Caenorhabditis elegans: one gene and its partners. The protein of the gene in region 1 purifies or fractionates together with the protein of each later gene. This does not show direct contact. Each region holds a gene or a part of one and is shown in the gene's direction. Other genes may lie near its edges.

What was found.
Region 2: the proteins of mecr-1 (region 1) and rnr-1 fractionate together in Caenorhabditis elegans (co-fractionation; one large-scale study listed by BioGRID). This does not show direct contact.
Region 3: the proteins of mecr-1 (region 1) and mdmh-35 fractionate together in Caenorhabditis elegans (co-fractionation; one large-scale study listed by BioGRID). This does not show direct contact.
Region 4: the proteins of mecr-1 (region 1) and cyn-6 fractionate together in Caenorhabditis elegans (co-fractionation; one large-scale study listed by BioGRID). This does not show direct contact.

The regions. Positions count from the first base shown.
Region 1 is NC_003280.10:13,182,770-13,190,656, reverse strand, and holds mecr-1 (Enoyl-[acyl-carrier-protein] reductase, mitochondrial), read left to right. Parts: upstream 1-3,342; 5' UTR 3,343-3,383; coding exon 3,384-3,473; intron 3,474-3,523; coding exon 3,524-3,632; intron 3,633-3,687; coding exon 3,688-3,908; intron 3,909-3,964; coding exon 3,965-4,579; 3' UTR 4,580-4,670; downstream 4,671-7,887. Other genes in the region: W09H1.4 (DUF1902 domain-containing protein), read right to left, coding at 4,926-4,961, 5,293-5,469, 5,517-5,561; W09H1.3 (Transthyretin-like family protein), read right to left, coding at 5,654-5,722, 5,975-6,223; his-73 (Histone H2A/H2B/H3 domain-containing protein), read right to left, coding at 6,812-6,952.
Region 2 is NC_003281.10:9,223,037-9,232,450, reverse strand, and holds rnr-1 (Ribonucleoside-diphosphate reductase large subunit), read left to right. Parts: upstream 1-4,200; 5' UTR 4,201-4,202; coding exon 4,203-4,328; intron 4,329-4,372; coding exon 4,373-4,651; intron 4,652-4,698; coding exon 4,699-5,429; intron 5,430-5,476; exon of another isoform or gene 5,477-5,601; intron 5,602-5,651; coding exon 5,652-6,302; intron 6,303-6,350; coding exon 6,351-6,930; 3' UTR 6,931-7,076; downstream 7,077-9,414. Other genes in the region: CRAL-TRIO domain-containing protein T23G5.2, read left to right, coding at 1-70, 119-267, 617-713; T23G5.3 (uncharacterized protein), read left to right, coding at 1,241-1,375, 2,388-2,515, 2,565-2,867, 2,921-3,035, 3,109-3,216. UniProt on the Caenorhabditis elegans protein: Provides the precursors necessary for DNA synthesis. Catalyzes the biosynthesis of deoxyribonucleotides from the corresponding ribonucleotides.
Region 3 is NC_003280.10:7,854,635-7,861,797, reverse strand, and holds mdmh-35 (MitochonDrial interMembrane space protein Homolog), read left to right. Parts: upstream 1-6,078; 5' UTR 6,079-6,091; coding exon 6,092-6,145; intron 6,146-6,192; coding exon 6,193-6,312; intron 6,313-6,365; coding exon 6,366-6,503; 3' UTR 6,504-6,663; downstream 6,664-7,163. Other genes in the region: Spindle apparatus protein lin-5, read right to left, coding at 1-286, 335-952, 999-1,138; sds-22 (Protein phosphatase 1 regulatory subunit SDS22 homolog), read right to left, coding at 2,120-2,311, 2,358-2,444, 2,491-2,719, 2,765-2,896, 2,939-3,096, 3,145-3,210, 3,262-3,378; T09A5.15 (Small integral membrane protein 26), read right to left, coding at 3,560-3,838; Chromo domain-containing protein cec-3, read left to right, coding at 4,329-4,338, 4,383-4,498, 4,543-4,808, 4,950-5,325, 5,376-5,448, 5,498-5,614, 5,658-5,719; mdt-10 (Mediator of RNA polymerase II transcription subunit 10), read left to right, coding at 6,758-6,853.
Region 4 is NC_003281.10:768,536-776,083, forward strand, and holds cyn-6 (Peptidyl-prolyl cis-trans isomerase 6), read left to right. Parts: upstream 1-4,878; coding exon 4,879-5,076; intron 5,077-5,122; coding exon 5,123-5,530; 3' UTR 5,531-5,624; downstream 5,625-7,548. Other genes in the region: ptl-1 (Microtubule-associated protein), read left to right, coding at 23-323, 372-684, 753-839, 1,355-1,532, 1,727-1,975, 2,450-2,632; tpst-2 (Putative protein-tyrosine sulfotransferase), read left to right, coding at 3,042-3,079, 3,271-3,397, 3,444-3,638, 3,694-3,902, 3,958-4,168; alh-11 (Aldehyde dehydrogenase domain-containing protein), read right to left, coding at 5,858-5,988, 6,039-6,115, 6,165-6,402, 6,451-7,116, 7,427-7,548. UniProt on the Caenorhabditis elegans protein: PPIases accelerate the folding of proteins. It catalyzes the cis-trans isomerization of proline imidic peptide bonds in oligopeptides.

The DNA.
Region 1 (7,887 bases):
CACCACGTGGAATTCTTTCAACTACAACTGAAAAAAAGACAACGAAATGACTGAGAAAATGCCAAGTATGACTACGATAAATGGCACTGATAACAACTTTACGTGTAAATATAGGACGTAAAGTGTCTATTTAGAATGAAATCATCACTTATTTACTAGAATTTCTATTGGAAGAGACTCGAATATTAAATGTGGAGCACCGAAATCTGAGACTTTGCCTTTTTAGACCCAAAATGGTCCAAAACTACGGAATTTCATAATGAAACTTCTTGAAAACTTTTCAGAAAAAAGTCATGACGGTTCAAAAAATGGGTTAAAATCAGTTAAAATCGGAAATTTGGCCGACTTGTCAATGTCGCAGCGGCTGGAAACAATTTTTTTTTGAAATCACCGTCAAATTTTGAGTATTCAAATTGATTACTTTGCGTTTTAAACTTGATTAAGGTATTTAAAATTCGATGGACGGCGAGTTTTTGTTCAAAAAAAATTAAAAATCTCGCCGTCCATCGACTTTTAAATACCTTAATCAAGTTTAAAACGCAAGATAATCAACTGCTATACTCAAAATTTGACGGTGATTTCAAAAAAAATTGTTTCCAGCCGCTTGAAAAGTCAAATTTCCGATTTTAACTGATTTCGAGCCATTTTTTGAGCCGTCATAACTTTTTTCTGAAAAGTTTTCAACAAGTTTCATTATGAAATTCGGTGTTTTCAGACAATTTTGAATCCAATAAAGCAATAAAAAAAATTCTCTCTCCACCACCTTTAAGAGCTGATAATGTCGAACAAATACATTTGACTTGCTAATTTAATGAATTAAATAACTAAACACCTATATACAAAAGGGTTCGTGGGAAACTTCTATACAATTGCGTTGGCAAATGAGAAAAAAAACCGAAGTGAAACAATTTTGGGGGTTGACCGGCGAAGAAACGGGCGCCACTGTAACCAAAAAAACCCTCACAAACAGCAAGAAGGTGGAGAAGATACAATGGCGAAATGAGAAGTATGAGAGAAATTGGGAAAATGGAGAGAAGGTCGTAGAAACGTGGAGGGGGCACTTTGTTTACGCTATTCCTTGCCACCCGCCGCCGCAGTTTCAAATCTATGTCAGAACTCTGTGTTGATGATTGATTAGCCGGAAAGGATGAGAGAGATGTATCGGATGACACTTTTTCGCGCGGCGGCGGCGGCGTGGCTCGCAATATAGTCAGTTAGCTGTGCTGTGTGGCAGTCGCGTTGAAATGTGGAATAAATTGGGTGCAACTGCTGGCTCGGAGGCCATCTTTCGCTTGTTGGCTAGTGATAGAGCTTTGTTACTGAAAAGAGGCACTCCCTGTTCACGTGGTGTCTCATTACAGCATGATCTACAAAAAATGCGGCGGGAACATTTTTCCAGAAAATTGTGACGTCAGCACACTCTTAACCATGCGAAATCGTGTTTGCGTCTGAACTCCCGCATTTTTTTGAAGATCAAACCGAAATAAGGCATTCTGACCAAGGGTGTCAATTCCCGTTTCCCGTTTTTCCCGTTGTCCCGTTTTTGGGGTGTTTTCACGGGAACGGGAATTCCCCTTGTCCCGTTTTTAAAATTTTCACGGGAACGGGAATTCCCCTTGTCCCGTTTTTAAAACTTTCACGGGAACGGGACATTTTCCCTCATTTTTTGGCTTTTTAAATATCTGTTTAACATTGAAAAAATCGATAAAAATGTTTATAATGCAGTTTTTTTTATAATTTGCCTCGAATACACTAAAATTTACGCCAACTATGCACTCTTTTTTTTAAACCGCCCAGTTTGTCCCGTTTTTTGAGTGTTTTCAAAAAAACGGGAATTCCCGTTGTCCCGTTTTTGAAATTTTCACGGGAACGGGAATTCCCGTTTTCCCGTTTTTGTAATTTTTACGGGACATTGACACCCTTGATTCTGACCCAGGGAAATTTCTTTAAAACATGCCTATGGGGTCACAATGACCGAATATTATGATTAAAAAATTCAAAAAATGTTTCTAGATTTTATATGATTTTTTGAAAATTGGAAAAATCTCGGTTTTTGCCAAATTTGTTCGATGGAGCGCGCTTGCACGTTTTTAAATTTATCTATTTTATTTTGTCTTATTTTCCACCGATTTTCCATGTTTTCAGTAGATTTTTGCTTGAATTTCAAAGAAAAAGTCAAAATAAATGCAAATTTTCGATTAAAAACCAAGAAATGCACGATTGGAACCTGAATTAATCAATTTCACAGATTTATGCTTGTAAATTAGCTTTTTAATCAAAAATTTGCATTTATCTTGACTTTTTCATCAAATTTCAAATAAAAATACACTGAAAACATGGAGAATCAGTGAAAAATAAGAAAAATAACAATAAATAAAATAATGCAAGCGCGCTCCATCGAACAAATCCAATTGGCGGTAATTCAAATAGGAATTAGGGGAAAAACTGAGATTTTTCCAATTTTCAAAAAATCATATAAAATCTAGAAAATTTTTTTTGAATTTTTTATCATGATATTCGGTTATTGTGACCCAATCGGCATGTTTTAAAGCAAAAATTTAGTGGGTTTTCGATATTTTATTTCGAAAAATCCCGCTAAATTTGAATTTTTCGGGCAAGAAAAGTGAAATTTTCGCATGAAAAATAGCGGAAAATCGACTCAAAATTGAAACTATAGGAAAAAATTGCCGAAAATGTGCAAAAAGCACAAAACTATGTAAAATGTACGATTTTTCCAGTCTAAAACTGCAAAAAATGAGCGAAAAAATCGCGAGAAATCTGATTTTAAAGTAATTTTGAGCAATTTTCTGTCCTTAACATCTCGAAATTATCACATTTTGCCGATTTTTGTTCGGGAAAGACTGAAAATGATCCGTTTTCAACAGGGAAAATGAAAAAAGTCCCGTGAAGGTCGTCTTCGCTTTCGTTTCAACCTTGCAACTGTTTAACAATATCGACAAAAGGAAAGATTTGTCTTTTTAGGTTTTTACTTGGCATCTTTCACAAAAATAATGGGAGGAAATTGATTAGAAAAAGCGCCGTGGGACAAAAATCGGGCAATTATCGAAAAAAAACACGACGAAAACCTAACAAATGAGTAAAAAATCGATGAAAAACAGTTTTTTTTCAGTCAAGGAAGTTGAAAAAAACTTGAAAAGCGGATGAAAATTGGAAAAATTTGGGAAAAATTGCGAAAAAATCGCGAAAATCGTTGTTTTGAAAAAAAAAAAAGAGTGTGTGGTAAACAAGAGACGCAGAAAAAAATAGACAACGATACTCCAAAATAACGCCTACGCGTGTTGTTTATCGTAAATCTACAACCGTTTATTTCTATATTTTCTATTAAAAAATAAGAAAATCTGTGTAAACTGTGCGAATTCCGGATGTTAAAAGTTCTCAGTCTACGATCTGCGCTCCAGAGAGCTGCCTCGACAAGACAACTAGTCTATGAAGGATATAGAAACCCTCCCGAGGTGAGAGAAAACGCGAATTTGCTTTTAATTTTATTTGCATTTAATTTCAGGCAATACAATTGAAAACTGTCACAATTGCGGACAAGCCGTCTGCGGATCAGGTCCTGGTTCAATGGATAGCAGCTCCAATCAACCCGGCAGACTTGAATCAGATTCAAGGTAGGTTTTTATAGCTCCAAAATCTGAAAAAATAATTATTTGAAGTATATTTCAGGTGTGTACCCTGTGAAGCCAGCTTTACCGGCGGTTGGTGGAAATGAAGGATTTGGGAAAGTGATTAGTGTTGGATCCAATGTGAGCTCGATTAAAGTTGGAGACCATGTAATTCCCGACAGATCTGGCCTAGGAACATGGAGAGAGCTCGGGCTCCACCAGGAAAATGATCTTTTTCCGATTGATAATACTCTTTCCATGGAGTATGCTGCAACATTCCAGGTATGATCTATAAAGCTAGGGAGCAGTGGAATAATCAGAATTTGTTTTTTTTACAGGTGAATCCTCCCACAGCTTATCGTATGCTTAAAGACTTTATCGACCTGAAAAAAGGAGACACAGTGGCTCAAAACGGAGCCAATTCGGCTGTCGGGAAGCACGTTATTCAAATTTGCCGGATCCTTGGCATCAAAACTGTGAATGTTGTGAGAAGTCGCGATAATCTGGAAGAATTGGTGAAAGAGCTGAAAGATTTGGGCGCCGACGAAGTTATCACACAGGAAGAGTTGTATAGTCGAAAGAAGAAATTCCCAGGAGTCAAGTTAGCATTAAACTGCGTTGGAGGCAGAAGCTCCCTGTTTTTGGCGAGTCTCCTGGACCACGGAGGATGTATGGTGACCTACGGTGGAATGAGCAAGCAGCCTGTCGATTGTCCAACCGGGCCACTGATCTTCAAGGATATCTCGCTTCGCGGATTCTGGATGTCAAGATGGTACGATATTCAGAAATCCCCGGAAAAGCGGCATGAGATGTACCAGGAGCTTGCCGGTTGGATGAAGAGTGGAGAGATCAAGAAGCAGGAGATTGTGAAGAATCGATTGGAAGATCATGCAAAAGCTCTCGATACTGCGCTGAGCAAATTCGACAAGAAGCAATTCTTCGTTTTGGAATAACTCGCTCCGTAATCGGGTATCATTGCTACAATTTAATGTGATGTGAAGATTGATCATGCTTTTTTTCCAAATAAAAACAGTTTTTTGCCCGAATAGGTCCTCAATGGCGTGTTTCTGAAAATTGTGATGGCCGAGATGCAATTGCGCCATTTTTCAGATTATACTCAATTACAAAATTTATGAAATAAGAACGTGAACTGACAATAAACTGAACTGATGGATGAAAGTAAGGGATTTAATTTAAATTCGGGATGTGAAAATCTTTCAGAAAAAAGGGGAATAGTAGGAGAGGTAATTTGAAAGAAAAGTCAAAGTCATTATCAGCAGCACGGGGGGGTTCCAAGAATTAGATAGACGCTTTGCTGACCACCAATTTGATCATCTGAAAAAATATCGAACATTTTGAAATGAAAAATGAGGACTCAAATTCTTTTCAAGTTTCACTAGGGTTGTTAAAGGGGACGAAGGGGAACGTCCTCCTCAATTTTGAGAGCTTTTTCCGCCGTCCCTTTTGTAGTAAACTGGAGCCCCAACATGAAATTGGATTAATCTGATGAATGTTGCTTCGATTTGATAGTGGTGCTTCAGCTTTCTACAAAAGGGACGCCGGAAAAAGCTCAAAAATCGAGGGGGACGTCCCCCTTCGTCCCCCATGACAGCCCTAAGCTTCACTCTATTTTTCTGAAACATTTTGTAAAAAAAACAAGTCTTACAGGCATATAAGATGGCACCTGAGCTCTGATAGAGTCGATGATGCGATCCTTGATCTTTTTCTCGTCCTCGATAAGATCTGTTGTCATCGAGAAGGTATCGAGGAAGACTCCGTGATTATCGTAGTGAGCAGTATACGATTTGACTTTTGCCAGTTCCATCGCACGTGGCATGATCTCCTGTAAAAAAAATAAACTAGAATATCCTTACAGAATTTTATACTCACATCCTTGAACCATCCGGGGATCCCGGTCGCAATCCACCATGTCATTTTGCGGTGAATTTTTCGAGACGGATCTCCAATTGCGGATAGATCACAATCCGGGCCGGGGATCGAGCCGCAGCTGATTTGACGGACAATAGCTAGATTGGTGGGCGAGCGGAAAGCAGATCGATCACCGGAAGTGGTGAAATTTTTCGATGGCAGTCATTCTGAAAAAAAAACACATTAACATTGTCTTCGCGAATAAAAAAATTGAGAAATGAATACTGATTTTATTAGGATGTGCAGAATATTATAATTTCCCGCAAATCGAAAAGGTCGCGCCGCAAAAAAATTAAAAAAAAAAACAAAAAATTTGGAGCGTTGTAAATGGTAGATCAAACATAAAAATTTTGAAAGCGACCTGTTGAAAATTATGAGGATTTTAGTTCAAAAATTATCGTTTTATAAATTAAAAATACCTTAATAACGGTAAAAGTGACGGGCTTATTGGTGTGCCTCAAATCCTTCGCCAAAAATTGCTGTCCAGATTGAGAGAGCTCTACACCGGCCAGCCGCAGATTCAGAAGGCCCGTATCGACATTCTTTCGCTTTGGAAGGAACGGAATCTTCATAATTGGCTCATGTTCCAAGCGGAGTTCACCACTGGGAAGCACCTCTCGTACTCGTCCCTTTAATTCCAGCTCTCGTGACGCAGACGGAGAAGTCATCACCCCCTGCTCAGGCAAACGAAACCGAGTCTAGCCAGGAAAAAACCCAATCTGGCACCACGAACAACCCGTTCTGGATCAACCAGGCAAGATCGGGGTTTTCGCTAGCTATATTGGGTTTATTTCTGGCCAGATTAGTAGGTTTTGGCTAGATTGGGTGTGCGTCTGGCTAGATTTGGTGTGCGTCTGGCTAGATTAGGTGTGCGTCTGGCTAGATTAGGTGTGCGTCTGGCTAGATTAGGTGTGCGGCTGGCTAGATTAGGTGTGCGTCTGGCTAGATTAGGGGTGCGTCTGGCTAGATTGGGTGTGCGTCTCGCTAGATTAGGTGTGTATTTGGCCAGATTGGGAGGGCGTCTGGTCAGATTGGGTATGCGGCGAGCCAGATGGGTGGCAACGCTTTCAAAATATAATAAATATATGCCAAAATTTGATGGTTCGGTTCTCCGGGCCTTCAAAATGATACAAAAAACAAAGAAAACAATTTTTATTTTACACAAGGACTGGATTTATGCATTTGTGGCCCTAAAGAGGGTTGTTGGGTTCGGTAAAGTTTTGAGATTAAGCTTGCTCAACTACCAAAAAAGGTATTTAAGCGCGCTCTCCTCGGATACGTCTGGCCAATTGGATATCCTTTGGCATGATGGTGACTCGCTTAGCGTGGATGGCACACAAGTTGGTGTCCTCGAGGAGTCCGACAAGGTAAGCCTCGGCAGCCTCCTGAAGAGCCATAACAGCGGAAGATTGGAATCGAAGATCGGTCTTGAAATCCTGAGCAATCTCACGAACAAGGCGCTGGAATGGTGCTCTGCGGATGAGAAGATTCAAAGTCTGTAAACTGTTTTTTGTTGTTGAAAATTCACTGTTTTCACCTGTACAGCTGGGATTCGTTTCTTCTGGTGCCGCGTTTCTTCTGCTGCCAGCCTGAAGTTGTTTTTCCAGTTGGTTCATAATTGAACGAACTGTTGTGCGCTGGTGCGGAACCATCTGCTAATTTCTAAAATTAATATTCAGTTCGTGAATAGAAATGAAGAATGTACGAATTATAGTAAAATGTGCCGTATCATTGAAATACAGTGAGAGCAACAAAAAAAGTCTACGTACTTTGCAACGTGGCGTTCCACCTTTTTAAAAATTTATTGAAATGAATAGTTTTTCGGAAAAAGAGGAGCGACACGTTGTAAAACACGTCGCTTTTTACATCTCTAACTTTATTTCAACGATAACGATCACGGTAAATAAGAACATAATCAAACGTGAAATTTTCAATCAGGTTTTTATATGCTCAGTGAAATATGACGTGATCTTGAGAGCGAAATTGATTATTACAAGGCATATTAGAAATCTTGACAAAAGTTCAAAATCTTCGGAGCCGGGAAAAATCTGGGAAAAACCATTCGAAATCCTTAGATCTGAAGAGATCTATTAGAAATCTTGAAAGACGTGAAAGATAAATGTGAATATTTCGTGATGTTCGTGAAATTTAGGGAGATGTTTGTGAAATCTTGAAGAGATGCGCATAAGATTTCTAAAATGCCTTGTAATAATTACCCCTTTCTTTATTTCAATGATTAATCGATTTATGTTGGAAAAAATGACGGAAAAAATGACGGAAAACAGACATATGTACAAGAAACGCGCGCAGCACACAAAAGATATTTTTCGAA
Region 2 (9,414 bases), on another chromosome or scaffold:
TAAAATTGGAACACCACAGCTACGTCTAGAGGAAAAGGCAGTTGTATTCCAGGAAGGAGATTCTATGCAGGTACTCTTAAAAAATATAAAAAATACATTTAAAAATGGTATTTTTTAGGGTTCCCACTATTGCTCACGAGCTGGTACATATATCATGCAATGGAGAGTCCCTGAAACTGCAGCCGGCCACTCATCAACCTTTGACTTTGGTTCTCACAAATGTCGTCTCATCTACTATTACGAGATTTTAAACTCTGAAAATTTCCGGTAAATTCTTTACACATTTATTACAGTTGATATTATGGAGACTCGAAATTTTGCGATTTTTGCGCTTAGAATACGGTAGCCGGTCTCGACACGACAATTTTGTTAAATACAAACGGGCGCGCCTTTAAATAGTACTGTATCTTGAAACTTTCGTTTCGGCGGAATTTAAGCAAAGAAAGTTTGAAATTACAGTACTCTTTCAAAGCGCACATTCTTTTTTATTTAGCAAAACACTTTCGCGTCGAGACCGGGCACCATATTCTAGGCACACAAATTCGCAAAATTTTTGCGTCTACATAAAACGTAAACTATCCATTACAGTAGCCTTATTAATGCAATTTGTTTTCAGAGGATCCGTTGCCTCCCTCGAATCTTGCCGTTCATCATCGTTCAGTTCAATTGCTCCACCAACGCCACCAACTCCAGGAACTCCCCGCAATCCATAAACATCATTTGTAAAATTCAAAATTTTATCCGACCCTACTCGTATTCTTGTGATTCGTTTTCCTTTCTTCTGTACTACTTCCCATTCTGTCTCTTCTTTTCTTCTGCTTTCAAACATGCAAACACCAAATTCCTTATTATTTCCTTTTTCTTCGTCTACAGTCCCAAACACGGTTTTTCTCATTGTCTCCATTTCTATCATATTCCTTCATTTTACTACTTTTTTGATGTAATTTATTATTAATTTCGAACTTTTCCTCTCTTAGTTCACTCTTCATCCATCAAATGCCGAGCAATTGAGTATAAAGAAGTTTTGTACAAGCCAAAACGAGTGAGGCAAAGGCAAAAGAACAATGATTTTCACACCCCAACACAAACATAATCTACACTCCAATATTATATATTGGACAAATAGCGCCCACTCCAAGAATGGAAATTGAGCTGGTATTATTTGTTAGTCGCTTTCGGTAGAATACCTCTACCACTTTTTGAATTCGCGCGCACCTTTTAAGTGGTTAATTTCTCTCTAATGCCACCTCCACCATTAATATCGCTTGATGTTGAAGGTGTATATTTTAAGACAAGGATAGCTACTTTGAAATCTATAGAAGGAACTTATTTTACTAAATTATTCGAAACTAATTGGAGGGAGCAGCTTGATAGAGTAAGTCTAAAAAAAAAGTTGTAACTTACAAAGTTTAAAGCATTTGGTAAATTGCCAAACTTCTTAGAATTTTAGAGCATTGCTGCAGGTCCCTAACCTCCTAGAATGTCCAAACACAAATGATTATTGCCATGTTGTTGAATTTTGTGATTACTGGCGCAAAAATACGGTGCCGGGTCTCGACACGAAACTTTGCAGCTACCGTACTCACAGGAACTTCGCAATTTGCTACGATTATTCATGATTTTTAATACAAAATCTTCAAATTTTGTTCCGGAAAACGCCTACTATCAAACAAAAAAAATCGTGGAAAATTGTGAAACACTTTCGGTTACTGTAGCTGTAAAGTTTCGATAGTTTTGAGACCAGGTACGGTATCCAAGCCTCAAAAATCGCAAAAATTCAAGAATGGGTAATAAGCATATACTGTCAATAAAAATATCATAATGCTAAATTTTGCGCTAACAGTACGGTACTTTGTCTCGGAGCGGCAATTTTTTTTAATTGAAAAGGGTGTGCGTCTTCAAAAAGTACTGTAATTTTATTACATTACTCTTTAAAGGCGCACATTCGTTTCGTATTGTCGAGACCTTTACGCTTGTCGAGACCAGGTACCGTATTTTTAGAATTAAAAACCGCATAAACTGCTCTGAACACATCAGTTATAAAATATATTAACACTCCATTAAATAGAATAAAACCTCATTTGGTCAACTAACCTTCCCCAAGATTCCCAATGCCTTGTGTTAAATACTCTGCGTATATGTCTACGTCATCAAACATCTGCAGGCCCATTGAATCATTCAAATAATTTTCCACCACCACCCGTTGCCATACTTTTCACCCGACACCACAACCACTAACACCATTCCCTTGACCTCCTCCTGGTGTGACGTAGCGCACTGTTCAAAAGCAATGACCAACTGGTTGTTGGGTGCCTGTGACGTCAATTTGTGACGTAGGCAAGAATGGGGGTTACGGTAGATTGGGAAAATTTGAATGCTTATTTCAGGATGGTAGACTCTTCATCGACCGTGATTCTTCAGTATTTCCGGTTATTCTCAACTTTCTAAGAGATCATGAGAAATGTTCATTGCCAAAAGACGAATATCAGCTTATGCGAATCTTACGTGAAGCGGTGTAAGTTCGGAACAAATCAGAATATTGCAAAAAGTATAAATCATTATAGATTTTTCAAAATTGGACCACTTCGAAACATGATAGAACATAAGCTGCGAACATTTTGTACTTGCCCACCTGAACTTCCATCAACTCCAATACCGAACCAAATCTTGACCCAAAAAGAAAATGTTCCGATTGTCCCACGTAATCTTCTTCTTTCGAAACCACCTCCACCTCCACCACCACCACTTCCGTCATTGATGCAGCCGAAGGATACTGTACAAATTCCGATGAGAAAACCTCCAACTGGCAGAAATTCCAAAAAAATTAAAACGTCTGCAGATTCGATTAGTCTTCCAAGGAACTTTACGTGAGATTTGGATATCTTTTATCTATTAATTACTTACAAAAGTTTATTTTCAGACATATTGCACATGTTGGTTGGAATGGTGCATCGGTACTTTTTGATAAGAAAATGACTGATGATCCGACTGTGAGGAAAATCTGTGATGCTGCTGCAGAGGCAGTTGATCTTAGTGTGAGTAACTTTCTTGAAAATTAGTAGAATATCTATAGAATTATAAAATTAAAATTCATTTATCTATTTTCAGGCGGTATACAATGTTGTCAACAAAAATGCGGATGAGGAGAGCCATAGCGTGGAAGTGCTCATAACTGGAGGATTAATGCAGTCAAGAGATGGAACATCTCGTCACTAACCATTTGAATATATCTGTGTCAAAATAAATTATTTATGTCATGTCTTGCATGCCAACAGATACGCGTTTTTCGAATTTTCGAAAATTCGCAATCACAGCTGGTGGTTTTTTATTGTCTGAATTGACCGACAGCAAATTTTAGTGATCTCTGACAAAACATCAGAAAATAAAAAACTACGCTTTTTTGTCCGCAGTTTGAAAATTTAAGGAAAAACTGAATATAAATATTATTTCATCGAAACATGTTTTTTTCTTTAAAAAATTACCGTACTCTTTCAAAGGCGCACGCATAAAGTTTTTAAATACAATATTTCGTGTCGAGACCATTACAGTAACCCGCGGCAAAATTGTGTTTTACAGCTTTTATTTTCGGGGTTTCTTCTGATCTTATGCATTTTTATGTGGTTTTATTTTGAATTTTACGTTTTTTTTTAAATTTCAGAGCAATGAAATGCGATTATCGGACTTGTCCTAAAGGGCGGAGCCATGGTTAGAGGCGGTGCTTGTGGTGCCGAAGGGTATAAATAGATTTTTTCCTCACACAGAAAACTAAACACATTTTTTGTTTAAATGAAATTCTTCAGCTGTGAATTAATATTTCATTTCAAACTGCCGTAGTTAGAAATGCTCAGGACCGTGGATTTTCGGTTTGAATTTCTAGGCCAATTTTGTGTGTTTCGACATTAGCTCACTTCTATCAGAAAACCATATTGAAGCCAGAATTCGTAGGAAAATATAATGTATTCTGTTTCACTGTAATACTTGTTTTTTCTATGAGACCAAGATTTCAATAATTCGTTTTCCTTTTGAATTTGAATTCCGATGGAGCGCGTTTGTTTGGTCTGCGTCTCGTTTTCGCGCGTTCCTCTATTACCTAGGCGCGAAAACTAGTAAATTTGAGATGAACTGGTCATTTGAAAATTCTCTCCGCTCCTCCATTTTCACTCTTTTCTTCTCAAATTGTTAATAATTCATCTTTTCCAGTTATGCAACGTTACAACAGCACTTATGTTGTCAAGCGGGATGGGCGAAAGGAAGATGTACACTTCGACAAGATCACTTCCAGAATTCAGAAGCTGAGCTATGGATTGAACATGGATTTTGTCGATCCGGTTTGTTATTAAACACAAGTTCAATGATGAATTAAATTTTCCAGGTCGCTGTTGCAATCAAAGTTATCAGTGGCTTGTACAAAGGAGTGACAACTGTTGAGTTGGATAATCTTGCTGCAGAGACTGCTGCTTCCATGACCACACAACATCCGGAATATGCTCTTCTTGCCGCTCGAATCGCCGTTTCGAACTTGCACAAGAAAACGAATAAGGTGTTCTCGGAAGTTATGAAAACCCTTCACGAGTTCCATCATCCTCATACCGGAAAACACGCACCAATGATCAGTGATGAGACTTGGGCTATCATTGAGAAGAATGCTGATGTTAGTTTTCCTAGGAATTGCATTTATTCAAAAAAATTTCATTTCAGAAGCTGAATTCCGCCATCGTCTACGATCGTGACTATTCCTACACCTATTTCGGATTCAAAACACTGGAGCGTTCCTACCTTCTCAAGATAAACAAGGAGATTGTCGAGCGCCCACAGCAGATGTTGATGCGTGTTTCTATTGGAATCCATGGAGATGATATTACTTCCGCAATCGAGACCTATAATCTGATGTCGGAGCGTTACATGACCCATGCGTCCCCAACTCTCTTCAATTCGGGAACATGCCGTCCTCAGATGTCTTCATGCTTCCTTCTGACAATGAGTGAAGACTCCATTCTCGGAATCTACGATACATTGAAGCAGTGTGCTCTTATTTCAAAAAGTGCCGGAGGAATCGGACTCAATGTTCACAAAATTCGCGCCACTGGATCTGTGATCGCTGGAACTAATGGAACATCTAACGGACTCATACCAATGCTTCGTGTCTACAATAATACTGCTCGTTATGTTGATCAAGGAGGAAACAAACGCCCAGGAGCATTTGCTATTTACCTGGAGCCATGGCACGCCGATATCTTCGAGTTTGTATCTCTCCGCAAGAACACTGGACCGGAAGAGGAACGTGCCAGAGACCTGTTCCTTGCTCTTTGGATTCCAGATCTCTTTATGAAGCGAGTCGAGAAGGATCAAGAATGGTCGTTGATGTGCCCATGTGAATGTCCAGGACTTGATGATTGCTGGGGAGAGGAGTTCGAAGCTCTTTACGCCAAGTAAGTATCTCCTGGTTCTTATTTTTTTAATTACCGAAGTGCGATATCCAGACAGAACTTTAAGAGTACTGCTTGGACTGAGTTTACTAACTTCGAATATGAAATAGTTGATCGATAACCGGAATATACTCAAAAAAAAAGGTGTGCTCCGGACAAAAATCAACTAACAAAAACTTTTAAACAGTGAAGTTAAATTTGCAAAGTTCATATCAAAATTTCCAGATACGAAGCCGAGGGACGAGTCCGCAAAACGGTGAAGGCCCGCAAGCTCTGGGAGCACATCGTTTCCAACCAAATCGAGACCGGGCTTCCATACATCACCTACAAAGATGCCGCCAATCGCAAGTCTAACCAGCAAAATCTTGGAACTATCAAGTGTTCCAACTTGTGCACTGAAATCATAGAGTACTCTGCTCCAGATGAGATTGCAGTTTGCAACCTTGCTTCCATTGCTCTCAATCGCTACGTGACCCCCGAGAAAAAGTTCGACTTCGTCAAACTGGCTGAGGTGACTAAAGTTATAACCAGAAATTTGAATAAGATTATTGACGTCAACTACTATCCAGTCGAGGAGGCTCGCAACTCTAATATGCGCCATCGCCCAATCGGGCTTGGTGTCCAAGGACTCGCTGATTGCTTCATGTTGATGCGTTACCCATTCACTTCGGCAGAAGCCAGAGATCTCAACAAACGAATCTTCGAAACCATCTACTACGCTGCATTGGAAGCCAGTTGTGAATTGGCTGAGTTGAATGGACCATACTCGACATACGAAGGATCTCCAGTATCGAAAGGACAGCTTCAATTTGATATGTGGGGAGTCACTCCAACCGATCAATGCGATTGGGCCACTCTTCGCAAGAAAATTGCAAAGTAAGATTAAAATACTCTTTCGAATCTGATTAAACTACTTATTTACAGGCATGGTATCCGCAACAGTCTTCTGATGGCTCCAATGCCAACTGCTTCCACTGCTCAAATTCTCGGAAACAATGAATCCATCGAGCCATACACTTCGAACATCTACTCTCGCCGTGTTCTTTCTGGAGATTTCCAGATTGTGAATCCTCACATGCTCAAGGATTTGGTGGAAAGAGGATTGTGGACTGATGAGATGAAGAATCGTCTGATTGCCAACAATGGATCCATTCAAAACATTGATGGAATTCCATCCGACATCAAGGAACTTTATCGCACAGTGTGGGAGATCTCTCAAAAAGACATTATTGAGATGGCTGCTGATCGTGGAGCATACATTGATCAATCCCAATCTCTTAACATTCACATGGCCAAGCCAAGCTACGCCGGTATCACATCAATGCATTTCTACGGATGGAAGAAGGGACTCAAGACTGGAATGTACTATTTGCGTACCAAGCCAGCTGTCAATGCAGTTCAATTCACTGTGGATAAGAATGCGCTGAAAACTAACCAACAAGCTGAGACGCCAGCCACCGTGGCCGAGTCGCAAGATGAAGGATGCCTCATGTGCTCCGGATAATCATTTTTTCTTTCACCCGTTGATCATGTTTGTACATTCCCAAATTGCTCACTTTTTCACTTTAATCTGTTATACTGATAACCCTATTTTGCTCGCGGTTACTCATTTTTTCTAAAGTTTTAATGGTCAATAAACTGACAATCTGAGTCCTCGAGCGATTTGAATTGCAGGAGCTGAAAAATGTGGAACCGTGTTAGGTTTACATCCGAAACTTCGGAAGTTTTCCTCTTCTCATGCTCTAGTAGTTTTTTTCCTAAATACTCTCTCAGCAACATCATGGTGCAACAAAAGTGGGTCTCGACTGAAGGTGTACGTGGGTAATGTTTAGTGAACCGTCAATCGAGCAGATTTCAAATGCGCCCTTTCGATTCTCTTTTCGTGTGCTCAATGAGCCGGAATAGAAACATTGAACTATGCGTAGAGCTCCTCTCGTCAGATGGGCCCCCGGTTCTTAGCGAGATTAGCTTGATTCTTGGTTTTTTTGCTCATTGCTCTTTTTTTCAAATAAACTACTACTCGTTTCCTCCCTGTCTCGTCATTGGAAGCTGTTCATCGTCTCTTTTGTCTTTTTTTGGGTTCTTTTTCCGTTTTTGCTCATTTCGACTTCAAAACGATTGATGACTTTGTTTCGGTTTGGCTTTTTTGGCTCAGAAGAGCACTCAGAGAAGCTATGAGACACACGAAATGATGAAGATGATGATGCTTCTGTCGGAACTTTTGTGATTCTTTTTTTTTTGGAACTTTTGAGACGGATTTCTTCCTTTTCTCGTTTTTTTTGTTCGAAAAAAGAAATGTTTGGTTTCCTAGACTGCATGCGATGAAATATGATTTGTGTGACAAAAAAGCAGAAGGTTAAGATGATTGGATTAAGGATTGAAAAGCAACACTATAGAATCAAAATATATGAAGTTCTTTGGTTTTTCGTTTTTTGAGAGAAAAAACTATTATTTACATTCATGAAATGTTTCTTGATCCTCGAGGAGCAGTTATTATAGGTTTTTTGTTGGATTTCATTTTAAATAAAACTAGATTTGGAAACTTATTTTCAGAAAACTGAAAACAAATGTAAGAGTCAGTTCTGAATACTTTCCTAATATTGTAATTTCGTAAAAAGTTAAACGTCTCAATAAAGGCGCAAACTGCTTTTCTCAGTGGGTCTCGCCACGATCGCCGTCGAAATGGTCGTTACAAGGACCAAATTTAACAGAATTGTCTATAATTGTTTATTTGATTTGGAAATAGAAATTTGTAAAACTTCAAATCCTAAACTGTGAAAACATTTGCAATAAACTATTTCTTACCTAGTTATACGTTTTAGCAAAAGCTTGACAAATAGTTTGCCGCCATAGTACTGTAGTTCTCCTATTTTTGTAGGTTTTAAAGGATTTTAAACGCGCATTACTTTTTTGTTTTAAAATAAGATGATCGTAAAAATAAAAATATTCTTCTTCGAGCAGGAACTAAAATTATGTTCTGTAAGGTATGTCTGAAACCACAATGTTTTGCGCTGTGACGTCACACACTTTCTTAAAGTACAGTTACAGCTCCCTCTTTTTCAACACTTTGAGTATATTATTATCGTTATTGTTTCAGGTCTAAGATCTTAGGTCTACGTTAGGTCTATTTTAAGTATATAGTCTATTCATATGGTTATAAAAAATTAGTAAGTAACGTAAAGAAGTATCATTATTCAACTATTTTTTCAGTTAATCACACCACCTTCCCATTCTATATTGCCATTCTTGCAAAAATTCTTGTGACGTTCAACTTTCAAGGAAAAAATATTGAACCACGTTAGAATACCTGATAGCTCAACTCGTCATCCTTTAAAATATATGACTTGCAAAGTTTGCTAAGCTTCCGGGAAAGCCAAAAAGTCCTTATTTGAACTTCAAACTTTTTATCTTTGCTCCGTCATTTCCAAAGTTTGATCATTTTGTCATTTGAAAACGATTTCATTTTGCAATCCTCCTTCCTTTTAGCTTCCGTCCAGAGACTACTTTATGGCCTTTGTTAAATTTGTAAGAAAACACAACAAAAAAAACGAGAAGTATTCTGTTTCGAATTTGCGTGTCTCTTTCCTAAGTGACGTGTAAACGGCAACTTTCAGGTCAAATTTTTGAGATCAGTTTCAATTTTTGTGTTGTTTATTTCAACATTTCAACACGTGACTGAAGGCCTTCTTTAACGACAAGGGAGATTTCTGTATCGAAGTTTATAAAGATTTTGGAAAAAGAACATACACTACCAGAATAACAATGGAAAGCTTGAAGCTCGAATCTTGAAACGGCTGAGACGGTAAAAATCTTGTTTTTTGTTTACAGTGTTTCACAAGATTTTTGCCAAAATTAAGCAGTTTTGGGAAAAAGTACCTTTTCAATATCGATTTACCATTCCATCTCAATCCTAGATTTAAAAAATGCATATCAAAAATGTAATGGGAAAACATGCCATAACCGAATACATTGTAATTTTTTTGAGAGC
Region 3 (7,163 bases), 5.3 Mb from region 1:
TTCATAGTCGTTGAGATCTCGAAGCTCTCTGGCCTGCTTCATGAGCTTCCCATTGTCTTCGGTCACCGTTTTCAGCTTAGCAGTAAGATTCTCTTTCTTTATGTCAGCTTCCTCCAGACTTCTTTGCTCGGATCTCAACGTCATTCGAGATTCATTGAGTTGTTGGAGAATGTTGTGGACTTCATCCTTTTTGGCTTCGAGATCACAGCTCAATTCTTCAGCACGAAATTGTGCCTCCTCGGCGATACCTTTCAGTTTAGCGATGTCGCTTTTCAGATCGGAATTCCTAAAATATTTTCTCCATATTTTAAATTCAATGTACCATTTTACTTACGAAAGCTTCAAAGTTCTGTTCTCAGCCGATAACTTGGTCTTGTCATCTTCAAGGTCTCCTAACATTTGCTCCAAACCAAAGATTCTCGCTTTAGACTGCTTCAGCTCCCGCTCGCTTCGCATGAACTTCATGGTAGGGGAATCGACAGCCTCCGCTATAGGGCTTCGCCGAGCAGTTGAGGAAGCTGTGCGTAGTCGCCGGGCAGTAGCTGTTGGTGTTTGCAATGATGTCAAGCTGTAGTTGTTCCTTTTCGGAGTCCTGAAGCCACTGGATGCTTCCTGATCTTCGTCATCTCTCCGAAGACATGCCCACCAGTCGTCAGCGGTACTTTCCGAATACACGTTGTCGAAAAACAAAAACATATCAAGAAGCACAGCTGTGTCGACGCGATTCTCTGATGACGCTTGCTCCAATGCGCGAGTGAGCATTCCCGAGTGATCCTTTCTCATATACTCGAGAAACAGAGCGTAGAATTTGCAAATCTCCAGTGAATCTCCGCTCGCTGCAAGCTTCGGTTCCAATGAATCGGTCATGAAGCTGAGACTCGTTGTGGCGATTTTGCGGAAGATAACTTCATAGAATTTGTCAGCTGTGCCAAACTCCCGAGTGTCGCATGACCTGAAAAATAAAATATGAAATTGTTTATGAATGAGCTATTACTTACATCATACTGGCGATCATACTCCCGTGCCTCTCCCAAAGCTCGGCTAATGAGCTGATTGTCTCCGTCTTCGGTGTGAAATTGGAGCCAAAATAGTTCGTCAATTGTAGCATTGACTTCACAACTGATGTGCTCACGCTCATTCTGCAGAAGGAGTAATTATTCAAAGAAAATGCGAGTGGTTGAGCGAAAGAACGAGAGAGAACGCATACATAAACGAAGAATATTTAAAAGACGCACGCAGAATGTCTGCGTCTCTTACACCATGCTCGTACACTTTTCTCACGACACTTCTAAAAACAGCGGGAATTCAAATGACAATTTTTCCATGGACCTGCAGGTCAACATGCACAAGTCTACCAAAAAAATATTAAAAGGACGAATAATAAATAAAAATGAAGCTGTTAAAAAGTGGGATGACACACTGATTGAAATGAACATTAGAGGAATCTAACATGAAAAATAAAACCAAAAATGCGCGCGCGCGCGAAAATGGTTTCATTCTTTATTTATAAAACCATGTGAAAGATTATGTGCATGCGCCTTTTAAAAAAACCGTATACACATTGCTGAGTTTGAAATTATTTAATGAAAACAAAGAAAGAACATTCCTTTTTTAGGGGACAAAGTTAAGTGCGCCTTCCAATAAAATCTTTATTTTCACAACAAAAAATCTTACAGTAGCTTTCATTTCATATATGTTTAATACTTTTCGAGGAAACTTCTTGATTGTTCTCAAAAGAAAAGCTCTGTAATTGACACACTTTAAGTTTTCAGGCATGGAAAGTTGGTTTTGGTTCATATTTATTTAGCGAGAAGAATAAATAATTTCTTCTTAAAATCTCACCGCACCGTCTAAAAACTACTGCATTATTCTCAAAGTATGAAACCTTTTTCAAACTCTTGATTAGTCGTTTTTTTTTTAAATTTTCATTAGCTGATAATATCTGGCCATTTCGATTGGCTTCGCCCATATGGAGGTCGATTATGATTCATTTGCGATTCCTCTTAATAACCTTACACTTTGTTCTCAATATCAAACAATGAAGCAAACTGATACATATTTATGAAAGATTATCATGGATAAGAAAAGCAAACGGATATTTATTGGAAGCGTCCGAGAGTTATTCAATTGGCTTTCTGCACGTAGTAGCATCAATTTGAGTTACTTGGGTGAGGGTCATCATAACTTTTCTGCGATATTGGTTTGTATCATTGAAATAGAACGGGTTTCTCTCCAAGTATACAGTTTGAAGACCCTTTAACTTTGAAAGTTGCTCAATTTCGGAGAAGCTTTCCACTTTGTTGTCGTTTGCCTGCAATAATAAAAGATATAGAAGAAACGTAAAATGTCTCGGTTACCCAGAAATCATTAAGACTTTCTAGTCTTTCAACGCCACTGAACGTTTTGATTTCGTTATTTGCAACATCCAAAAGAAGTAAATTAGTCTGCAAAAAAGACCCATTTCTCAGTGTATTTTGAATTGCTTTTTACCAGAGGTTCGACGCCATGAATATCTTGTAGACCCTGATCACTGAGGTAAAGTTCCTTCAGATTATTCAGTTGCTCAACATTTTCAATTTTCACAATACGATTTCCCGGCAAGCTGAGAACACTGAGCTTCTGCAAGGTCTCCACTCCCTCCAACTGACGAATTTTATTTTTGCCGATAAATAATTCATCCAAATTTACAAGGTGACCAATGTTCTCGATTTTCTTGATTCTGAACACAATTTGTGATTTTGATGTTGAAACATTCCATATTTACCGATTATCTCCCAGTTCGAGCAGTTTGAGCTGCGTCAAAGCTTCTAAATTTTCGATTTTTTCAATTTTATTGCTGACAAGGTAAAGAGTCTCGAGCTTTGTCAATTTATCCAAGCCGTTGATTTGGCGTATTCTGAAAGTTATTATTGAAATAAAAGTTTCTTAAATTCTTCACCTGTTATAGCTCAGATCAAGAGAAACCAAATTTACGAGTGATTCGAGATGCGAAATTTCGGTCAACTGATTTTCGTACAAATCCAGGGATGTCAAAGTAACTAACGAAGAAATTGTGGGGCTAATTGAAACCAGAAGATTATTGCGCATTCTCAGTTCCTGAATATAATCATTGTATTTACACACGTATTTCTGAAGTATTCTTACCTCTATTTTCGGAAATCCAGTAAGATCTGGAATGTGATCAGCGCGAGTGTGAGTTAGATCGATTTCCTGAAACATGTTTACTTTCACCAATAAACCCAAGCGGAAAAAAAAACAAACCGGAGAATCGATATCGAATGTGCTCAAATCGAATTGATTTTTCAAAACAGGCTCTTTGGATTCTTCGTCATTTTCACGAGGAAGAACAACAACTTCAGCGGATTTGTCGTTGGACATTACTAGTAGTAATATTACTCTGAATTTGTAAGTTTCGCACAAGATTATCAGTCAGTTATAGATATTGTCAGGCGTATTTAACGCAATATTTAAGAAAGAGATCACAAGCATATCAAGACCTATATAATGTTTTTTGAAAAACTATGAAAAATACACGTAGAAAGAAACAAATGAAAAAAAGTTATTTTCGTTCGAATGGATCGATCCAGACATTTTGAGGACCAGCTTGTTGTTCTCGAGATGATCGAAGTAAGGCCCGTTCCTCTTTTTGTGCGTTTTTATAATAATCATGATGATATTTTGGATAAAGCGTTACAGCAGCTACAGCACAACATGTAACAAGTGCAGTAGCTACAACTGCCATGGATCCGAGTGTTGGCCGATTAACTTTGGCCCATTTGGGAAGACGATTCTTGACTGACAACCAAAACGGAACAGGGGCTCCTTCAGGAACGCGCATGTGTAGCTAAAATTGATTACAATATGACTTTCAGTATGTTTAATAGAATAAATTGATGGATTAATTAAAAAATGTAGTCTATAGAAACAAAAATATGTTTTCTTATTTTGGCTTCATCATTGAAGAGATTGCTCATTCTAGGACTTTTTTACCGTAGAAACAAATCTGTGAGATTCGTTAGCTGACCAGTGATCATGCTTATGAAATAAAACAAGTTAAAAAGTATTTTATAGACAATAATTGAATATTTCGAAAAAAAAACTGCAAAACTTTCACATTTTCATTATTTATCAAGAACAAATTATTTCCATTCAAGTTCCGCAATCCGGGGAAACTGAGTCTCTTTTCTCAACTCCGCTAAAGAGGGCGCGCAGCAGAACTTCGGAGCGTCGTTGCTGCTGTCGCTGAGTTTTCTTTTGAAAATTCCGTCTTATTTTCTAATCTTCAATCGATTTTAACTGTCGACTAATAATCTCTAAAAGTTGTGAAGATGAGTAATGGTATGTTTTTATTTATTTATTAAAACCTAGAATAGATTTTACAGAAGGTTCACGTGAAGAGTCTCGAGAGCCCGAAGCAAGAGAGGGAAAGTCTGACGAGATTTTTGAAGTTGAGAAGATTCTTGCTCATAAAGTTACAGATAATCTGCTAGTGCTTCAAGTAAGTCACGAAATTATTTCTTAACTTAATTGTCCACATTTTAGGTTCGTTGGTTGGGTTATGGCGCCGACGAGGATACCTGGGAACCCGAAGAAGATCTGCAAGAGTGTGCCAGCGAAGTTGTTGCAGAGTACTACAAAAAATTGAAAGTCACTGACAAAACAGAGCTTATTGAACTTCTTCAAAAGCAAATAAAAAAGAACAAATCGCAAAAATCAAAAAAGCGATCGAAGACGGTTAGTGACCATGAGTCTAACCATGACAGCGACGGTAGCTACGGTACTCCGAAGACATCGAAGAAAAGTAAAAAGTGAGCTAAATTCTTTATTAAACGACAATAGTTTGAATAGTGGTGTTGTTTTTTTTTTCAAAAATGTAAATACATCCACACGTAATTGTCGGGAATGATGCTAATGGAGAGAATTCCATTTTTTTAAATCGATTTTTGCAGATCTGCTAAAAACGAAACTCCTGTATCATCAAAAGTTCCAAAAGTCCCAACGAAAGCTGCACTCAAGTCATACGAAGCAACGGTTTCTGGTCCAGTAGCTCCAAACAATGCGAAGAAAGCTGCAATGGAAGTTCGTGATACCCGAAGAAATTGGCTTGATGAAGAATCTTCCGATGACGAGGCAGAAACTACGGCGCCACTCAGTGATGTTGAGAAAATAGCGAGCAAAGTAAAAGTAGTGAAGGCAGTTGAGGAAAAAGCAGAAGAACCTGTCAAGCGACCATCTACACCACCAAAGCCAAGAGAGGTCGTTATAAAGAAAGACCCAAGCGAAAGTCCAGTTGCCAGCGCATCTTCAGTTATCCCAACGTCTAAGGTGGGTTCGAGTGCATAAAAATAATATGTATATATATGATGTATTTTCAGAGAAAGTCTATAAATGCGGAAACATCAAATGGCCGTCAAAGAACTCTTGCTCCCCCAGTCATTGTGAAAGATGGTAAATTATTTTTTAAAATCCTCGTAAATTGTTCTTTATTACATTTCAGAAACAACCTGGACTGTTGATGGTATTGCTCGTCACACTGATGTCGACAACACTAAAACGAAGCTGATACTGATGACCAACTCCGCCACTGGTGAACGAAAAGTCGTCGAAGGAAGAGGTAAAATAGGTTATTCTCAAAGTTTCGAATCTTTCATTTTCAGAGGCATTCGAACTTGATGGTTGGGCTCTCGCCAAGTATCTCCTCGATCGTTGTGAATTTTGAATTTCGAGTTTTGTTAATTTCGTTAAGCTTTCGATTTTTTATTTTTTGTCTCATTTCATACTACAGTTCAAAGCATATCTATCTCTCTCCCTGTTTCTATCATTCATTCTCCTTCCATACGATTTAAACGACTCCTTTATTTATTTCGTTACTATCAACTCTGTTTCATCGAATTCATCTTTTTTCTTCTAACATTCCATAACTTTTCTGTTGAAGAATCTCTTTTCAAAATGTTGATTCATCTAATGAATATATCTTTTTGAAAGTTCAATTTTCTTTTTAATGTTTTATCGGTTTATCTCCGAGTCGTTTGATATCTGAAAATGTCTTTAATTCTACCTTATAATATACCATTTTAGCTATGCAAAAAATATGAGTGATCGACACATGTCTAGTATTTTTCCCGAATGCGATCATCTCAAGCAGGTTAGTTTTCTAATTTCTTCTCGATTTCCAATAAAATCCGATTTTAGATCTACGACAAATGCTTCACAGAATTCTTCCAAAAGTTCATCACTCCCAATTACAGGCATCAGTATGCTGTAAATCCATGCGAGAGATTACATGATGTTTACAAGCGATGCGTTGAAGAGGTAAATTACACGGTTTTTAAAAGTTTTAAAAGTAATATTTTATTATTTTTTAGAGATTAGCTACACAACGACCGTTCGAAATAGATTTGGACGAAATTCGCAAAGAATATTTGAATACAGACGATGATAAGTTGAAGGATCGACAAAATAATCAAAAAACGAATTCCGAAAACAAGTGTTCTTCCTCTTGAATCTCGTTATCCCTTGATCTTCCTCACTTCACAACTCTCCTGTACGTATCCGCTAGCTTTGTAATTTATTGATTGTCCTGTTACTAGGTTATTCTCTTTTTCATTTGTTGATTTCCGGTTAGCATGACATTGAAAACGCAATATAAATCAAACATTTTTTATTTTTTTTTACCGCTTGAAAACTTTGGGTTTATTCCACTGACTATTTATGTGATTTTGTGCGAATATGAGTACGTAAAAACAATTTTTATCAGATGGATCCGAGTAGTCCGATGTTTCAACACATGGTTCAGCAACAGCAGCAAAGCCAACAAAGGATGATGGAATTGCACGAAAGAAACGATAGAGAGGTGAGAATGAAGGGTATCACAGAAAAATTAAAAAGAAAGTTTTTCTTGAAAAACCAAAAAACAAAAAATTCGAAAACGATTCAAAGTTGGTATTTTTAACGGAATTCGATGTTTTTGTTACGGTTCTCACCCTATTTCATACAAAAATAAATATTTTGAGTTTTTTTGAGCAAAGGAACCAAAAAACTTTTTCAATTTTTGGATTTTTTTTTGATTTTTGAGTAAAACCGAAAAACCGAGGATCAGAGCTGAATCCAAATTTTTTTTCTCCAAAAACACGTTGAAGTTTGAAACATTTTGTTGAAAAATT
Region 4 (7,548 bases), on another chromosome or scaffold:
ATTTTAAAATTATTAGTTTTAGGAAACTCAGTATAGTCAGGGCTCTTTTCCGGAGGTTGCAGTAGAACCGGAGCCCGAACCTGAACCGGAACCAGAACCTGAACCGGAGCCTGAACCGGAGCCTGAACCGGAGCCTGAACCGAAGCCTAAACCAGAAGTTGAACCGGTGCCACAACCAGAGCCTGAGCCAGAGTATCAACCTGAACCGGAGCCTGAACCAGAGGTTGAACCGGAGCCAGAACCTGAACCTGTGCCGGAGCCAGAGCCTGAACCGGAGCCAGAGCCCGAACCAGTAGTCGAGAAGGAAGAAGAAGTTGTAGTCGGTAGGTTTCAAATGTAATCTTCAGCATTCTTAATCTCTAGATTTTCAGAATCTCCTCCTCGAGAACAAGAACCTGAAAAATCTGGAAAATCCAAGCCTTCGAGTCCGATCCCCGACGCCCCAACAATGGAAGATATCGCTCCGAGAGAGCTCGAGTCTCTAAACTTTTCCGAAACGTCTGGTACCTCCGATCAACAAGCCGACAGAATTATGCAGAACAATGAAAACGAGAGAGTCGAGGAGAAGAAACAAATGAGCCCAACTCCATCACAACCCCAACATAAGACCCCACAAAGATCTGGGATTCGGCCACCAACGGCGATTCTGCGACAGCCAAAACCGATACCAGCATCTTTGCCAAGGTAATTTTTTCATTTGTTGCTCACCTAGTGACCACTCATCACAAATTCTGAGCATTTCCTTGTTTTAGGCCAGCAACTGCTACTCCCTCGTCTCAACGCGCTATTAGTACACCAAGACAAACTGCTTCAACAGCGCCATCTCCGAGACCCATATCGTGAGTGTTTATTTTTTCATAACAATTTCTCGAGTTATTTGAAGATTAAAGATGGGTTTGGTTCTGTCCGTCTTATTGTATCCAAAATACGTTTTTTTTTTTCATTTCTCTGCGCTTATATGTATTAGACGTATCTTTGCCTATTTTTTTCATTCGTGGTAGTAAATAACTAGATCTAAGTTTGCTAATGGACGTATCTATACTCATTTCCTGAAACTATCCCATAGTGAAAATACATCACCTAAACTTGGTGCGGAATATTTGTTGTCTGGGTATTGCAAAACATAATTGCTTCCTCTATTGTTGTGCACCCAACTGCTCCTATTTCTTTTATGGCACCTGCGATCTCAATTTTTCAAACTTTCTCACATTTCCACGTAGAATTTGAGTTATTACATATAGTTGTTACTTATATATAGAATGTTATCATTACTGATTGACCATAAATTGAAAATTTTGCTTGGCTTGAATAATCCCTATTATAGCCAATTAGTAAAAAAGTAACAAATCTTCAGAAAAATGTCTCGAGAACGGTCGGATGTTCAAAAATCCACGTCTACGCGAAGCATCGATAATGTTGGAAGAATGACGCCAAAGGTTAACGCCAAATTTGTAAATGTGAAGAGCAAAGTGGGAAGTGTCACCAATCATAAGGCGGGCGGCGGAAATGTGGAAATTTTCTCGGAGAAAAGAGTGAGTGAACATTAAAAAATTTTTCTGCGATTTGAGCCAATCAGATGACGTTTATGAAGGTCGCTGTTTAGCTCAAAAAAGAGCTGAACAAATCGGTCTTGTAGATCTCATTTTTGGAGAACACCAAATAAGGATGTTCGCCAGAAGTTGCATTATCAAAACCTAGATATTTTTTACACATTCAGTTATTTCAGCTCTACAACGCCCAATCCAAAGTTGGCTCCTTGAAAAACGCAACACACGTTGCCGGAGGCGGAAACGTTCAAATCGAAAACAGGAAGCTAGATTTTTCGGCAGCTTCACCAAAGGTTGGCTCGAAAACCAATTATCAGCCAGCAAAGTCTGACGTGAAGATAGTTTCGGAGAAGTTGACTTGGCAAGCTAAATCAAAAGTTGGGTCAATGGACAACGCAGCGCATAAGCCTGCTGGTGGAAATGTTCAGGTATTTTGAAGATTAAGAATTTGAAACACGAGTGAACTTGAATTTGACGTGGTGGCTTTTCATATTGCAGCTATTGATTTTCAGATATTAAGTCAAAAATTGAACTGGAAAGCCGAGAGTAAGGTTGGGTCAAAGGACAATATGAATCATCGGCCTGGTGGTGGAAATGTTCAAGTTCGTAATAAACTAGGCTACACACACAATATCACGCTTTTCTTCAGATTTTCGACGAAAAAATCCGCTACGTGTCGACGGACTCGAGCCGGAATCATTCTACGCTGGACATCAGCTCGTTATGATCGGACCACGCTTTCACTTGAATTTTACCACACCTCACTGATCTTCAGAGGTTTTGTATTTTTTCAGCAAACTGATGACCTCTTTTTGTAATAAATTTGATTATTTGAATAATTCATCTTCTCAGCACAGTTTATCATCCATCACTGGATCACAATTTGCCCCACGAAATTTCAGGTAATTTCCAGCGAAGTGGCAGTAAGTCGACCAAAAATGATGACGGCCACAATAATTGATAAGAAGAAGGATTTTGCAAAACGACAAAGTGTCTCACAGAGATCTTCAAGCAATTCTCTACTGCCCAACAAATTTCCAGGCGCCATTTATCCTCTTTCTCCTGATTTTATATTCAATCGCTGATGTATACCGCGCTTAATAATATGCTTTCAAATATTTGTGCAACTATTGAATTAATTTTTGAATATATTAACTGTTCCCAGCCGTAGTTTCTATTTGACTTCCCTGAGCATGTTGAATCGAAGAATTTTATCCCAAGGTTTCAGCTTTTTTATCTATATTTTCATTTTTTGCTTTACAATCTGTCTTTTGATATTCTCTTCAATAAAGTGGTAATTAAAAGTGTATCGTGGGTTCTACTTGAAAATGGTAATTTTTCAGTAAGAAACTTCAGGAAAAGTTAGAACAGCTAAGTCTTTCAAAAGAGAGCTTAATCTTCAATGAGCAAGATGCTCGACACTCGAGACGACTCCTCTCAAATTTGGAGCAGCTGATTTTTGTGGGTGGTGTGCCGAGAAGTGGGACTACTTTGATGAGAGCTATTCTAGATGCACATCCGGATGTTCGATGGTAAATTTAGAAAATTTCAAAAATGCGATGTATGCTGCGCTTGGCCAAAAGATCTTGAATTTCTTCTCCTTTAAAACTTTTAAACTCCGTCGAAACAAGGCTTTCTGAAGTCAAGACTTTTTCTTGACAATATGATACTTCTTATTCAGAAAAAACAAAACGTATTACTTCTGCTCACTTCAAACTTTCAGTGGCGGTGAAACCATGCTGCTTCCAAGTTTCCTTACATGGCAAGCAGGCTGGCGGAATGATTGGGTCAATAATTCAGGAATTACTCAGGAAGTATTTGACGACGCTGTTTCAGCATTCATCACTGAGGTAGTGCTCTTGTCACCGTGTTCATCTTTAATTGCAATTCATACAGATAGTCGCGAAGCACAGTGAACTAGCACCTCGTCTGTGCAACAAGGATCCATACACCGCATTGTGGCTTCCGACTATTCGCCGACTGTACCCGAATGCAAAGTTTATTCTGATGATTCGAGATGCTCGTGCCGTAGTTCATTCAATGATAGAAAGAAAAGTACCAGTTGCTGGGTATAATACGTCTGATGAAATTGTAAGGTCTCCCTAATGAAACTCTTGAATTTCTAAAGATAATTTGAAACATTTAGTCAATGTTTGTTCAGTGGAATCAGGAGCTTCGAAAAATGACTTTTCAATGCAATAATGCGCCAGGGCAATGCATAAAAGTATATTATGAACGACTGATTCAAAAACCTGCGGAAGAAATCCTACGTATCACCAACTTCCTGGATCTGCCATTTTCCCAGCAAATGCTAAGACATCAAGATTTAATTGGAGACGAAGTTGATTTAAACGAGTATGTGCTTTCTTCATTAAAACTTTTGAACTTCAACTATCTCTTAATTTTGCAGTCAAGAATTCTCTGCATCACAAGTTAAAAACTCGATAAACACTAAAGCCTTAACCTCGTGGTTTGATTGTTTTAGTGAAGAAACTCTACGAAAACTTGATGACGTGGCACCTTTTTTGGGAATTCTTGGATACGATACGTCGATTTCAAAACCCGATTATTCCACATTTGCGGATGACGATTTTTACCAATTTAAAAATTTTTATTCTTAAAGTTTTGCACTGTAACCTATAACTTTTATAGAAAATAAGATGTCCAAAGTTACCTACATCATAGATTGTTATTATTTTATTTTTATCTATAGATACAACTGTTAACCTACATCATTATCATTATCTCCCATTGTTTTCAGATAGAGGTCAAGGTAACTTTCTAATTCTCCACACTCTCTGCAACACTATAAAAAAGAATGCGCGCACGCACAAATGTCCACTATTCCGCCGGACACGGCTGCTTCCTGCAGCTGTATCGATTTTTCTTTTGTCGTTTTTTTCTTTTCGAACAGGATTTTTGAATGCATTCTTCTATATTTTTTGAAAAATAAAACTTGCAATTAATATACTTACAATTAAATACATGCTGTTGGATTTCTAGAAAATTGCTTACATTGTTAGTTAAATTAAATACTATGCATTATATTTATAAATAAAATATTTATTTATTATAACTTAGTACTTAGTACTTAAGTACTTAAAGTACAAAGTAGGGGAAAAAAGATCAGGAACTAGAAATCTTATGATTAAATTTTGATAGGCTAAATTATTAGAATTTTGTTTAACTTCAAACGATTAATTTTGAAACTAAATTCTTACTTTGAGGTTTTTTTAAAAATCATATTTTATGTCAAATCCGACTTTTACCATATACTACTCTAATTATATTACTATGAAAATGAGCATCCAAAATCTCAACAAGTTTCCAGATGAGCCGTGCTCTTCTTTTCTTCGTTCTCGCCATTCTGGCTTTGTCAGCCGAGGCACGTGGACCACGTGTCACTGACAAGGTCTTCTTTGACATGGAGATCGGAGGAAGACCTGTTGGGAAAATCGTCATCGGACTTTTCGGAGAGGTCGTGCCGAAGACAGTGAAGAATTTCGTTGAGTTGGCACAGAGAGCTGAGGTATTTCAGTTTGTTAATTAAATTCTGTAGACTTTAATATTTTCAGGGAGAAGGATACGTTGGTAGCAAGTTCCACCGTGTCATCGAAAACTTCATGATTCAAGGTGGAGACTTCACACGTGGCGACGGAACCGGTGGACGATCGATCTACGGCGAGCGCTTTGAAGATGAGAACTTCAAGCTTCAACACTACGGACCAGGATGGTTGTCAATGGCCAACGCTGGAGAAGATACCAATGGATCTCAATTTTTCATCACTACCGCCAAAACCTCATGGCTCGATGGAAAGCATGTGGTGTTCGGTAAGATCCTGGAAGGAATGGACGTAGTTCGTGAGATCGAGGCTACACCAAAAGGAGCTGGAGATCGGCCAATTGAGGATGTTGTCATCGCCAACGCTGGACATATTCCAGTAGAGAACCCATTCACTGTCGCCAGAGCAGGAGTTAATTAAACCTAATGATCTACGGGTTTTCCAATTAATATGTGTATTTTTGTTGAATGTACTATAATTACTTTCTAAAATTCTAATAAACGTGTTTTGTTTCAGTACTTGATTATACAGCGCTGTCAGGATGTGCTACGTTTTGGAACTTGTAATAGTATTAATAATTGAGCAACCTGACTTGCCAATGTTCGAAATACCAAAAACACTATATCATAACTTTGTGGAGTATTGGTTTCAATTCTGAAGTTGAAATACACTTCTAAAAGCAATAATTTATTCTCGATCCGTTCGTCTAACTAGTAAAGTATAAAGATTTGTACATTTGAAGACTCATTAGAATGGGTTGGGGCACGTTCCGGTATTGACAAAGACCGACTTCAGGTGAGTATAATGTTCGAGTACTGCTGTTCCGTTTTCACGTCCGAATCCTGATTCTCCGACTCCTCCGAATGGAACCAGTGGCGCTGAAATTACAGGTTCTTTTCTAGATCTAGTGGGATTCGGAGCAACTTACAAACATCATTATAGGTATTGACATAGACGTTTCCAGCATTCAACTGCTCAGATACTCGATAGGATCTTGAGAGGTCTCTGGAATAATGAGATTTTCATTGAACATGCTTTAATAGGGTACTCTTACTTCGTGACTAGACCCGCAGCTAATCCCATATCGGTGTCATTTGCAATTTTAATAGCTTCATCTTCGGTATCAAATGGAATGATTAGAAGTACGGATCCAAAGATTTCCTCCCGATATACTGTCATTTTGGGTGTAATGCCTGTTAAAATACATGGAGACAAGTAGAATCCATTCTCGAGGCCATGAACGGCCACACGATCTCCACCACAAAGCTTGGTGGCTCCTTCGGCAATGGCAGCTAAATAATGGTGTACTATTGAGAATCTACTTAAATTTCTAAACTTACTACTTATATACCCTTCGACTTTGTTACGATGCTCTGCAGAAATATGGGATCCAACTTGAGTATCCTCTTTCAAAGGGTCACCAATTTTCATCTTCTGCGTGTGATCTACCAACTTCTTCGTAAACTCCTTCAGCACACTTTTATGAACCAAAACTTTTGAAGCATTAGAACAAACTTGTCCCTGACTGTAGAAGTTAGCCATCATTGCACAAGACACCGCCGAGTCGATATCGGCGTCGTCGAACACGATCAATGCGGATTTTCCACCAAGTTCCAGGGTTACTGGCTTGATATTTCGATCGGCGCAGGCTTTCATGATTTTCTTTCCAGTTGGGATGCTTCCAGTGAATGATACTTTTGATACCCCATCATGATGAATGAGATCTTGTGCAGTTTCAGCGTCACCTTGAATAACATTGAACACTCCATCCGGTAGTCCAGCACTTTTCAAAATTTCAGCCAATATCAGTGCAGTTACGGGTGACAGCGGGCTGGGCTTATATATGACAGCATTTCCACAGGCCAGTGCTGGTGCAGTTTTCCAGGAGCATGTTTGAATTGGATAGTTCCAGGCACCGATGGCGGCGACCACTCCAACAGGAAGACGGCGTGTATAGGCGTAACGAGAAGCATCGAGTGGAACGTGTTGACCGAGAAGGTCAGATGCTAGATTTTGGAGATCAGGATTTGTATGTCATTTGTTGCTGATAATTATGCCAAAACGGGAGATGAGCGGGAATTTGAATTGGGTTACGTCACATATATCTTACTGTAGGCAGCCATTTAGAAAGCGCATATCTAATCAGGGTATTCGAAAATGAATTTTCTATAATTTTTTGATATCAAAATGCTATAGAACACCTACAAAACAACTCAAAAAATCAAAAATTAGAGAACGCTTATTGTTTTTTGAAAATCTCTTATCATGACTGCAGTTGTCGTCATTTTCTAGAACCAAACATTATTATGCACTTACCAATTCCGGAATAAAAATAGAAAGTGTCAACACAAGAAAGCACGTCAGCTTTTGCTTCTGCAATTGGTTTTCCATTACTAATACACTCCCAGTAGGCAATATCGTTGCAATGAGTTTTCAGA